Linked DNA regions of Coturnix japonica. The protein of the gene in region 1 binds, or shares a complex with, the protein of each later gene. Links are inferred from orthologs where the notes say so. Each region holds a gene or a part of one and is shown on either strand. Other genes may lie near its edges. The genes, in order: LAMTOR5, LAMTOR2 and FNIP1.

Region 1 (3,747 bases):
TAGATGCATAGGAGCTGGTAAGTAGAGAGGGAGAGCCTTCAGCCCAGATTTGGTACTAGAAGCGTGTTCTGCATTGGAACAGCCAAGGAGAATGAGGAGGAGCTGGTCTGGAGCAGGGAATGGAGCATCAGGATGCCACGGTCAGGATGCCAACTTGTGCACTGCTACGGTGATGCTGTCATGCTTCTGGATCATGATGTTCCTAGAGCAAGGAAAGTGCTGTCAGAGGAAGGTGAGAAACCAGCTGGGAGAGCAGGAGCTGACTTGGCTGGGAAACCAGATGGGCAGCTCAGTGCCAGACCTGTCAGCTGTTCCCACAAAGGGGGATGATGGAGTCCTGCTGACCAAAACGACACTACAGCATGGGCTAAATAATCCATGGGGATCCAAAAAGCAAAAGAAATACAGTGCTGCAGCAACCACCAGCCCCTGAAAGGCTTCCAGCTGCTTCTGCAGTTCCCAAAGCCTGAGGTCCCATGAATCTGACTTCTTTTCATACCCCCCTCCCAACACAGCTTCAGCAATGGGGCTTCCTCCAGCTCTGCCAGTGAAATAGAAGATGGAGAGCTCTGCTCTGGAGATTTGGGGTGGGGAAAAAGGGAAGAGCAGCAGCCTTGGGCTGGATGCTCACCCACTGTCTGACTCCAGGCACACCACAGGAGTGTCGGTTGGGTCGGAGGTGAGCTTGGCTGCCTGCTGGGCCAGCACAGAGATGACTCCAGCATGTTCATCTGAGAGCGTTCCTCGGCCTGCAAGAGGGGAGATGTGGGTTGAACTCACGCACACCGTGATGGGAGGCAGCTCCCCATCCCCACTTCCTTCCCTTATTGCTGTAAGCTGATGTAGTACCTCCCCAGATCAAAGAATCACATGAGTTGGTAGGGACATATAAAGGCCATCAGCCCAACCCCCCTGCAATGAACAGGGACACCCATAGCTCCAGCAGATGCTCACAGCCCCCATCCCTGACTTCCAGTGTCTCCAGGGCCAGAGCACCCACATCTAGCTAGGGGCAACCTGTGCTGGTGCTTCTATGGGAGTCCATTGGGGTTCTATGGGGGGGTCCATAAGGGGTTCTATGCGGGGTCCACAGGGGCTCTACAGGGGGTCCACAGGGGTTTCTATGGAGGGTCATAAGGGTTCTATGGGGGGGGGGTCCCAAAGGGGGTCCATAGGGGTTCTATGGGGGGTCCACAGGGGTTCTATGCAGGGGGGTCCACAGGGGTTCTATGCAGGGGGGTCCACAGGGGTTCTATGGGGGGGGTCCAAGGGGTTCTATGGGGGGGTTCTTTGGGGGTATGCATCCAGACACGCATTGCGATGCGTGAGTTTCTATGGGGGGTTCTATGGGGGTTCCAATACGGGGTTCTATGGGGGGGTAATAGGGGTTCGTAATGGGGGGTCCACAGGGATTCTATGGGTCTGGGGTTCTATGTGGGGGGGTCACAGGGGTTCTACTGGGGGTGGGGTCCACAGGGGTTCTATGGGGGGGGTTCTATGGGGTGTCCACAGGGGTTCTATGGGGGGTCCATAGGGGTTCTATGGGGGGGTCAATAGGGTTCTATGGGGGGGTCCATAGGGTTATATGGGGGGGGTCCATAGGGTTATATGGGGAGGGGGTCCATAGGGGTTTCTACTGGGTGGGGTCCCAAAGGGGTTCTATGCCAGGGGGGCACAGGGTTTCTAAGGGGGGGGGGGGGGGGTTTTTTTTTTTTATCTATGGGGGTCATAGGGGTTCTAATGGGGGGTCACCAAGGGGTTCTATCCAGGGGGGTCCACAGGGGTTCTGTGGTTTGGGGGGGGGTTCTAATGAGGGGGTCCACAGGGGTTTCTATGGGGGGTGTCGCACAGTGGTTATATGGTGGACAGGAAGTTCTATACGGGGTCCATAGGGGTCTTATACTGGGGGGGTCATAGGGGGTTTACTAGGGGGGTCCATAGGGGTTCTACGCGGGGGGGTCCACAGGGGTTCTATGCGGGACAGGGATTCTATAGGGGTCCATAGGGGTTCTATGAGGGTCCACAGGGGGTCCATAGGGGTTCTATGGGGGGTCCATAAGGGTTCTATGGGGGACAGGGGTTCTATGCGGGGTCCACAGGGGTCCTATAGGGGGGTCCATAGGGGTTCTATGCGGGGGGGTCCACAGGGGTTCTATGGGGGACAGGGGTTCTATAGGGGTCCATAGGGGTCCTATGGGGGGGGTCCATAGGGGTCCATAGGGGGTCCATAGGGGCTCTATGGGGGTCTATAGGGGCTCTATGTGTGTCCCCATGCCCACCCCTAACCCAGGCCCTGCCCTGGTCGCTCCCATACTCACACCCCAGGTTGAGGCCTTGCGAGTCGGTGCACAGGACTCCCACCACGGCCGGGTTCTTCATGCTGCGGGAGAAGCGGCGGTCAGCCCGGCCTACACCCAGCCCCCAGCCCGCGGCCTTGCCTTCCTTCCCCCCCCCAGCCCCTCGGTCCCGCCGCCCCCATCCCGGTCCGTACGTGTCCTCCAGGTGCTGCTCCAGGCTCCCCTCCATGCCGCCCCCCTGTCGCCTTCACTTCCGCCCTTCTCGGCGGCTCCTGGCAGCTGCGTCGGTCATGTGATGCACGCTACGGTGGCTCCGCAGGGCCAAAAAGCGAAGCCAATGTACGGGAACCGCCCTGAGCAGCACCGGTATGTTCCCATTGGGCAACCACTGGTCAACCATTGGTCAACCATTGGTCAACTAGTAGTCAACCACTGGTCAACTGCTGGTCAACCATTGGTCAACCACTAGCCAACCACCGGTCAACTGCTGGTCAACCATTGGTCAACCATTGGTCAATCATTGGTCAACCATTGGTCAACTGCTGGTCAACCACTGGTCAACCATTGGTCAACCACTGTTAACCACTAGTCAACTGTTGGTCAACTGCTGGTCAACCATTGTCAACCACTGGTCAACTGCTGGTCAACCACTGGTCAACCATTAATCAATCATTGGTCAGCCACTAGTCAACCACCGGTCAACCGCTGGTCAACCATTGGTCAACCACTGGTCAACCACTGGTCAACTGTTGGTCAACCATTGGTCAACCACTGGTCAACCATTGGTCAACTGCTGGTCAACCATTGGTCAACTAGTAGTCAGCCACTAGTCAACTGCTGGTCAACCATTAGCCAACCACAAGTCAACTGCTGGGCAAGCACTGGTCAACCAGAAGCCAACCACTAGTCAACAGCTGGTCAACCATTGGTTAACCATTAGTCAACCACTGGTCAATGAGGACCTACAGGTACCACTAAGTCCAACTCCCTCCACCCAACCCCTATGGTTTTGGGTGCCCCTGCCCTGTGGAGCTGTGCCATGCCCACCTCCCTCTGGTGCTCAGCCTTTTCCTAACACCCATCCTGTCCATCCCAACACAGCTCCATACCTTTCTTTATGCCCTGTATTTGTCCCCAAAGAGCTGTAAGGGCCCCACACCCACTCCCACAGAGGACGTGGGGCTGTAGTGTTGTATCACAGCCATTCGTGCCCTGCTTTCAGTGTGCAGGAGGTGATGGATGGCAGAGCCATCAGAGCCTGAGACTGATGGCTGAAACGCATCCAGCTCAGCCCTGGCAATGGATCTTATCATGTCAGGCTGGAAAATTAAAATGTTATTGATGGGGGAAGTGAAATGCAGTGGTGATTTTTCTTAGTTTTATTTCTCTTTCAATTTTTTTCCCCTTCTTGATTGAGTTGGAATCGTCACCAGTCACTCCAATCCCATTG
Region 2 (3,426 bases), on another chromosome or scaffold:
AGTTGTAGTCGTCCTCAGTGCTGCTCATATCTCCCGGCTGCCGCCCGGTTTCCTCCTTCCCTCCGCAGAGCTCAGAGCGGGGCGGGCTGCAGGGGGTGGTGAGGGGGGCAAAGTCTCCTCTGTGTCGGGGTGTGAGGGGGGTCCCAGCAGTGAGGGGGGTCCCAGGAGGGAGCGCGGTCGGGGAGTGAAGGCGACGCGGGCGGCGCAGGGAGGCCCAGGGCGGCTGAGTGCAGGCTGGGAGCGGCAGCGCAGGTTGGGCAGGTAATGTCACCCCTGGAACCGTCACGGGGCACCTGGAGGAGGAGCCGGGCCCGGTCCTGGCTGCCAAGGCCACGCGGCGCGGGGCAGCCTGGGGCACTGGGGCCCTGGGCTCAGCATGGAGCTGGCCGGGCACCAACGGCCGCCTGCACCTCTGCTGCCAGCACAGAGAGATGGGAACGTGGGGGAAGCAGCCCCAGCAGGGACAGCACAACGCTCCCAGCTGCACCACAGACCCCTGGCTGGGTGCACGGCTGACCCCGTCCCACCCTTCCACCCTGCACTGATCTGACAGACACTCAGGACACGAGCACCACACGTGGCTTTATTTCCCCTCCCCTGCTGCCCAGCAGCACAGCCGGGCTCACAACACGGTTCCCCCCGTGCAGGCGCTGCTCTCAGCCGTGGCAGCGCGGTTCCATGCTCAGGATGCAGCTCAGATGCAGCTCAGGATGCGGCCACCTGCGTCAGCGGCTCCTCCAGGTATTGCACCAGCGCCTGTGCCTGGGGCAGGGATGGTGGTGAGGGGTGCAGCCCCCAGCGCCCACATTCTGTGGGCAAACCCCCGTCCCACCCCAGCACCAATCTGGGACCCACGCAGACAGTTCCCATTTTGATTGCAATTCCTCCCCCATCTCTCCCATCCTCTTCCTCCCGGCTTTAACCCCGTGGCTCTTTCACACCTCACCGTAATGCAGCCCCCCACCCCCTCACCCCCATCCCCTCACCCCCATCCCCTCACCTTGGCTTTCAGCATCCCAAATCCCACCGTCTCCTTGGCGTACATGCACAGCAGGAGGTTCGCCACGCGGGTGATGGCCACGCGCCCCTCCTGCCGGAGAGAACCGGGGTCACACGGAGATTCAGGGGGTCACAGCGGGATTTATGGGGTCACAGTGGGATTTATGGGGTCACAGTGGGATTTATGGGGTCACATTGAGATTTATGGGGTCACATTGGGATTTATGGGGTCACACTGAGATTTATGGGGTCACACTGAGATTTATGGGGTCACACTGAGATTTATGGGGTCACATTGGGATTTATGGGGTCACACTGAGATTTATGGGGTCACATTGAGATTTATGGGGTTCACACGGACCCCTTGGGCTCCCACACAGAAGCTGCTGCTGAACACCTCGGATCCCACTGTGGGTGCTGCTGTGGGTCCCGCACACCGGGGGTCCCGCATGGATCCCGTGGGGTCCCGCAGCCGTTCCGTACCATGCAGTCCATGAGGATGAAGCGCAGGTTGTCCTCGTTGAACGCGTGGTGCCCGTTCTTGTCGTAGGCCACCCAGATGTTGCTGGCGATGGCCGCGGTCACGCGGGCGTCCGTGTCTCCGTATCCCGAGTAGGCCAAGAGCGAGCCCTCATTGTTCAGCAGCCTGCAACGGAGCGGGGAACGGTCAGCTCCGGGCCGAGCCCCGCCGTGACGGTACGGTCACATCACACCGCAATGACCGTACGGTCGCACCGCCCCCGGCCCCGTCCCCGCTCACAACGTGCTCTGGACGCCGCCGGTGTTGGCCTGGCTCAGCACCTGCGTCAGCGCTTTGGGCCGCAGCATGGCAGGCAGCGCGGGGCGCGGGGCCCGTTCCCGGTGTAGGCCGCCCCCGTTCGGTGTTTGCTGCCGTTCGGTTCCGTTCGGGGCGGTTCCGCGCTCCGTTCCGGTTCCGGTTCCGTCGCCTCTCGATCCTCCCCGCCGCCAGGGGGCGCTGTGCTGCGGCGCGGGCCGTGGCGGCGCTCTGTCCCGGCCTTTCTCTGTCGGCCAGGGCTGGCGGGGCGGGCGGCGAAGATGGCGGAGCCGAGTGGCGGCGGCGGGCCGGGCCCCGGCGGGTCGGAGCTGGGAGGTCCCGGCGGGGCGCTCATCCGCGTCACGGTGAAGACCCCCAAGGACAAGGAGGAGATCGTCATCGCCGACGGCGCCTCCGTGCGCGAGGTGGGGACGGGACGGAGGACGGGGCCTAGGCCTGAGCGCTGCGAGGGGCCGCGGGAGACACGGGCCGCGAGACCGAGGAGGGTGCGGAGCGGGAAGGTGGCGGGAGGGGTTGGGCGAGAATTGGAGGGAGGAACCTCGGGGGTGTGAGGAGCCGGGGGGGGGAAGGTTGTGAGGGGCGGGAGCGGAGCTGGGCTGAGCGGAGCTGGGGCCTCCCCGGCCATGGGGGGCGTGGGGCCGGGGTTGGGCTGCAGCGGAGTGACGGCGTGTGTTGTGCGGGAGCCGAGGGGCTGGAACCCGCCGGGGGGCGAGAACGGGGCGTTGTCGGGGCGGTGCGGGAGGGGGGGGCGGGATGTGCCGGTGGGAACGGGAAGGGGGGGCCGGGAGGGGTCTGCGGGCTGGGGGGGGTGTGAGGGGCACGGCCCGGGGGTTGTGCTGCTGGTAGTGGGGGTGTTGTGGGACAGCGGGGAGGCGCTGCGTGGGGCGGCTGGGCCTGGAGGGATCAGGGATCTTCTCCCTTAGGGCCCGGAGATGCCTCAGGTCAGGGCACATGGGGGCGCGGCTCCGGGGCTGGCAGGAGCTGCTGGAAGAGCAGCGGGAGCTGCAGCTTGGGGAGCTGAGAGGCAGCGGGTGGGTGCTGTGATGGGACGCGGCCCTGGGGCTGGGCTGCGGGGAGCTGTGGGGCAGTGGATGTGTGCGGTGGGGCTGAGGCCAGAGGCTGCTCTGTCCGTCCTTCTCAGACCTTTCATTTCTGCCTTTGGGGCAGAGGGAGAGTGAAGCAGAGGGAAGGGGACGTCAGACATGTGGGTTTGCTGTGAGCAGGGAGCTCCACAGGGGCACTGTGTGTTTGCAGGGCAGCAGAGGGTTCACAAGAAGCGTTGTGCAGGTGGCAGTGCCCGCCGGGGCAGAGTGGTGTCAGTGCTGTGGATCTTGGCTGTGTGTGTGTTTTGCTGTGTACTTTGATGTGGGCTTCAGGGCACGAGGTTGCAGCGTGTGCTGGGAGCTGGGCAGGAGCTGTGTGCTGTGCGTGGCCCTGCTGCTTCCCAGCCCTGTGCTGTCAGCGTGCAGAGCAGCGGGTGAAGCTTCACGCCCTGGGTCACTTCAGTGCCAGGGGTCCGTCCTCCCAGGCCCAGTTTTTCGGGAGTTCTGGACCATGGCAGCGAGCTGCCCCAGGAAAGCTGTGATCTTCTGCTCCCAGCCTTTCCATGTGGATTTCCTGAACTCTGTGGC
Region 3 (3,747 bases), on another chromosome or scaffold:
ATTTGCAGCAGACAGCTGGTACTCGACACCTTAGAGCTTAAGGGTTGTCTCTGCTCTGGAATACATGCAGGTGTTTCTTGTAAACATATTTTACTATAAAAGCATGGAATGTTTTTGCTCTTGCTACAAACACCTGGCTGCACGGGGAGAGTGCAGTCTGAAGATCAGCTCTGCTGACTGTCACCAGTTAAGCTGACAGGTTAAAATACCAATATGTAGTGGATCTTAAAGCTGCTTCTCACATACAGGGGAAAGAAAAACCAAACAAAGTGAGACATCAGCAAATGCTTTGCAGCTGCTGACTTACTGGGCACCTCCCTGGAAGGGGCAGCCTCTCCACACCTGCTTCTGAAGTGCTGCTGCACTCAGCCTCAACGTGTCACATCCCCACCTGAGACAAAAGGATTCTGGGCAGGAGAAAGAAAAGTAATAAGGAAAAGCTTCCAGAGGAAAAGGTAATTTCTGTTATTGTTGAAACAACATAAGCTGAGATCAGTAGAACTTACGCTTTAGTAAACGTTCACAATAAGTCTGAAGGAAAGGCAGAATATGGTCAAAGAGAGGAAAAAAAGCATTAAAATAATCCTAAAACCACTTGCTATACAGATGTCACTGCCATAGAAGCTGGACTTTTCTCTCTCCTTATCAACCCCTAAATATATTAAGTGAATTTATATAATTGTAAGGTATTTTCTACACAGTTTCTCGCTAAGAGGACCAACGAGAAGGCAATCAACAGCAACAGCACGCGGTATACTTGGAAAAGGTTTCCTTACTGAGAATATAAACCAATAGTAACATGAAGTATCCATGAAGATACACTTGTATCACTGAAGGCAATGACACTGATGCCCCGGTACTTACTAGAAGCACAGAAGCAGACAAAAACTGGTTTCCAGGCTCCAAAACCCAGCTATCATAAATAACAGTATTTTGTGTATTCTCCATAAGTTTTGCCCACAACCAACGCGGCCATGTGTAGTGAGGATTAACTCCAGACTTATCCCCAGTTGGAAAGCAAAAGAAGCCACTAGGCAATGTGCCTACAGGCCATTGAAATCCAGCACTTGGCTCTTGGAATCACAGCCCCATCCTACACCTCAACCATCAGCACCAAGTGAACAACTGCGCATCTACCAGCAGCTGACGGTTCCCATGACACGGTGAAGCAGCACTACGTGAGTGGAGGAGGGCAGAGCAGACAGCGTGACATATCTTCAACGTCCACATGCAGTTTGGCACGCTGTGAGTTGAGAAGGAAGAAGAGGCATCTCCCAGCAGAGCTTTTGCTTTGTGATCCACATGCTTCTGCCTGGGGTCTGCAGCCCTGGTGTCCCTTCCCCAGCAAGGAGCCTGACCTCAGAAATAAGCTAAGTTAGAGAATCAGATGATACGGACATCGTTAAAAAGCTTTGTCTCCTAAAGTACGTATATTTTAAAGGAGCCACTACCACAGCCAGGAGAGAGAGGAGAGCAGCATCTCCAGAAGGCAGCTCTATGAGTTGCAGCACCAGCCTTCAGGTGCTGCCCAAGCTGCGTGCTGACCACACAAGGGCTCTGTGACCACCGCGATGCTCCGACAACAGCACAAGCACCACGAGCCGCCCGAAGCAGCGGGTGCAGGAATCACATCCCCACGTGCACTCAGGTGTCCCCTTCCCGGTGGGGCTGTCAGGGCAGCAGATGGGAGCAGCGCCTCGCACAACGTTCGGTCCACACTCAAACTGCAAACTTTGCACTTTAAAACTATTTCTCAGGGCCACCTTCTGTCCCTCCAGCCAAGAGGGGGCTGCGTGGCTTCCCAGTGCGGGGTGCTCTATTTTAAAGCCCAGAAACCGAGTCGTTCCCACACGACGGCCCCGAACGGAGCTCCGGGTGGATCCCACCGCCCCTCCTCAGCCCCACTGCTGCGACCGAGGACCCAGCGCCGTCGCGGTGAGATCGTGACAGATTTCACCAGTAACCCTACACCTCTCTTGGCAGCGACTTAACGTTTTCTCCTCCTTTTTCTTCACGTTTTTAAGGTCGCTCCCTCCCGGCTCGCAGCCCCGTGACGAGCGGCATGGCGCCGGCCTCCCTCACCATCCTCCCCCCTTCCCGGCCCCGAGCATCCCCCGAGGGAACGTCGGGAGCCCCCGCAGGGCCGCCCCGGGGGCCATAAGGAGGGCGGCGGGGCCGGGCCGCCGTGAGGGGCAGAGCCCGGCGGCGGATGGCGGAGGAGCGGCGGGGAAGAGGCGCTGCCCGGCCCCGCACGGCCCCTACGGCGGAGCGGGAGCCCGAGCTCGGGGCGGGGGGGAAGGAGGGCGGCCCCGGCGCCGCGTTACCTGAAGACGCAGTCGTCTCTCGCGTCCCTGGCCGGGGAGCTGAGGCCGTGCTTCTTGTTGAAGAGCTTCTGGAACAGGGTGGGCGGCATCTTGGGGAGCCGCCGCCGCTGCCCCCCGCCGCCGGGCTCCGAGCAGCGCCGTCCCCGCGCCGCGGCTAGTTCCGCCCGCCCGACTCCATTCGGTGTCACAGTCATATGACAAAAATTAGTCACTCGGCGCTGCCAGAAGGGGAGGGCCGGCGGGGCGGGCCCGGCGGGGCGCTGCGTGGGACGCTGAGTGGCTGAGGCCCCACGTGGGCAGGGCGAGGGGGAAGCGGAGCCCGCAGCCCCCGGGTGGGGAGCGGAGAGAGGGGCCGGGGAGCGGCGGAGCGGGGCGGAGCGGGGCCGGGCTCCTCCTGCTGCACGGGAAAGGCCACGAGGGGCCGAGAGCCCGTGGAACAGCCTCGGTCGGGAAACACCGCCGGGACCCACACCCACCCACCTACCCACCCACCTACCTACCTACCTACCTACCTACCTACCTACCTACCTACCTACCGTACCACTGCCCGTGTGCCCCCGTGCCACGTCGCCCCGCTCCGGAACAGTTCAGGGACGGCGGCCTGTGCCGGTGCTCAGCTGCTCTTTGAGAGAAGTAACTCTATCTTACATCCAACCTGCAGCACTTAAGAAACTTTTCCTTGAAAGTGGAAACAGGTTTCAGTTTGATCTCCTCGGACAGGTCAAGCTTTGGGGTTGGAAATAAAGAACAAACTCATCTCCTCCCACCTTTCATCTCATCCAGGCCTGCTCAGGGTGGGGGGCTCCCCCAGCACAGACAGAAATAGCACTCCAAGCTGGGAGGAAGGAAGGCAGCCACGTGTGCTGTGTGCAGGGGAAGCCATCGTACCCATAAAACATCCATCTGCCAAACGCATTTAGGACATAGTAACCCACACATAACCCACATGTGAATCCAGACCAAACACAAGCCAAAGGGAGCATTTTTTGCAGAAGCATTTATTAGGTTTAAACCAATGGGTCCAGTTAACAGCCTCCTTCACTGTCTCACTTGTTAAGATACAAGACTAGCAGAAAGTGAAAATAATTAGGAACTGATTAAATAGAACTGACTCATCTGCTTTCCCTGGAAAATGGAATTAAACTAAGTCAGCATGTGACATAATGTTACATTAGAAATGCTTTTAAACAAGGATATTTTGTGCATAAGATACACAACCACCTGCAGGATCTCTGGTTTTCATCCGCTAGAAGTTGATGCTTGTAACAGAAAGCAGGAACCAATGTTCAGATGCATCCTTCCCCCTTATTCTGGATGGAGGACACACCTGTGTGCCACAGGCTCACTAAGGAGAGCTCTCTATATCCCTTCACCATGTGAAAGCCTTCAAACTGGGCACATAAATACAGTTTCAGATGAGATC

The links.
Region 2: LAMTOR5 (region 1) and LAMTOR2 share a complex: the UniProt entries of both Homo sapiens proteins name them as parts of the ragulator complex. The link is inferred for Coturnix japonica from reciprocal best matches to the Homo sapiens genes LAMTOR5 and LAMTOR2.
Region 3: LAMTOR5 (region 1) and FNIP1 share a complex: the UniProt entries of both Homo sapiens proteins name them as parts of the lysosomal folliculin complex. The link is inferred for Coturnix japonica from reciprocal best matches to the Homo sapiens genes LAMTOR5 and FNIP1.

What each region holds. Positions count from the first base shown.
Region 1 is NC_029541.1:1,788,745-1,792,491, forward strand, and holds the start of LAMTOR5 (ragulator complex protein LAMTOR5), read right to left. Parts: upstream 2,627-3,747; 5' UTR 2,527-2,626; coding exon 2,492-2,526; intron 2,381-2,491; coding exon 2,319-2,380; intron 750-2,318; coding exon 632-749; intron 203-631; coding exon 142-202; 3' UTR 1-141. UniProt on the Homo sapiens protein: As part of the Ragulator complex it is involved in amino acid sensing and activation of mTORC1, a signaling complex promoting cell growth in response to growth factors, energy levels, and amino acids.
Region 2 is NC_029540.1:79,366-82,791, reverse strand, and holds LAMTOR2 (ragulator complex protein LAMTOR2), read right to left. Parts: upstream 1,952-3,426; 5' UTR 1,828-1,951; coding exon 1,760-1,827; intron 1,646-1,759; coding exon 1,483-1,645; intron 1,091-1,482; coding exon 1,001-1,090; intron 763-1,000; coding exon 706-762; 3' UTR 564-705; downstream 1-563. Other genes in the region: RAB25 (ras-related protein Rab-25), read right to left, coding at 1-28; UBQLN4 (ubiquilin-4), read left to right, coding at 2,056-2,199. UniProt on the Homo sapiens protein: As part of the Ragulator complex it is involved in amino acid sensing and activation of mTORC1, a signaling complex promoting cell growth in response to growth factors, energy levels, and amino acids.
Region 3 is NC_029528.1:1,525,075-1,528,821, reverse strand, and holds the start of FNIP1 (folliculin-interacting protein 1), read right to left. Parts: upstream 2,536-3,747; 5' UTR 2,519-2,535; coding exon 2,325-2,518; intron 1-2,324. UniProt on the Homo sapiens protein: Binding partner of the GTPase-activating protein FLCN: involved in the cellular response to amino acid availability by regulating the non-canonical mTORC1 signaling cascade controlling the MiT/TFE factors TFEB and TFE3.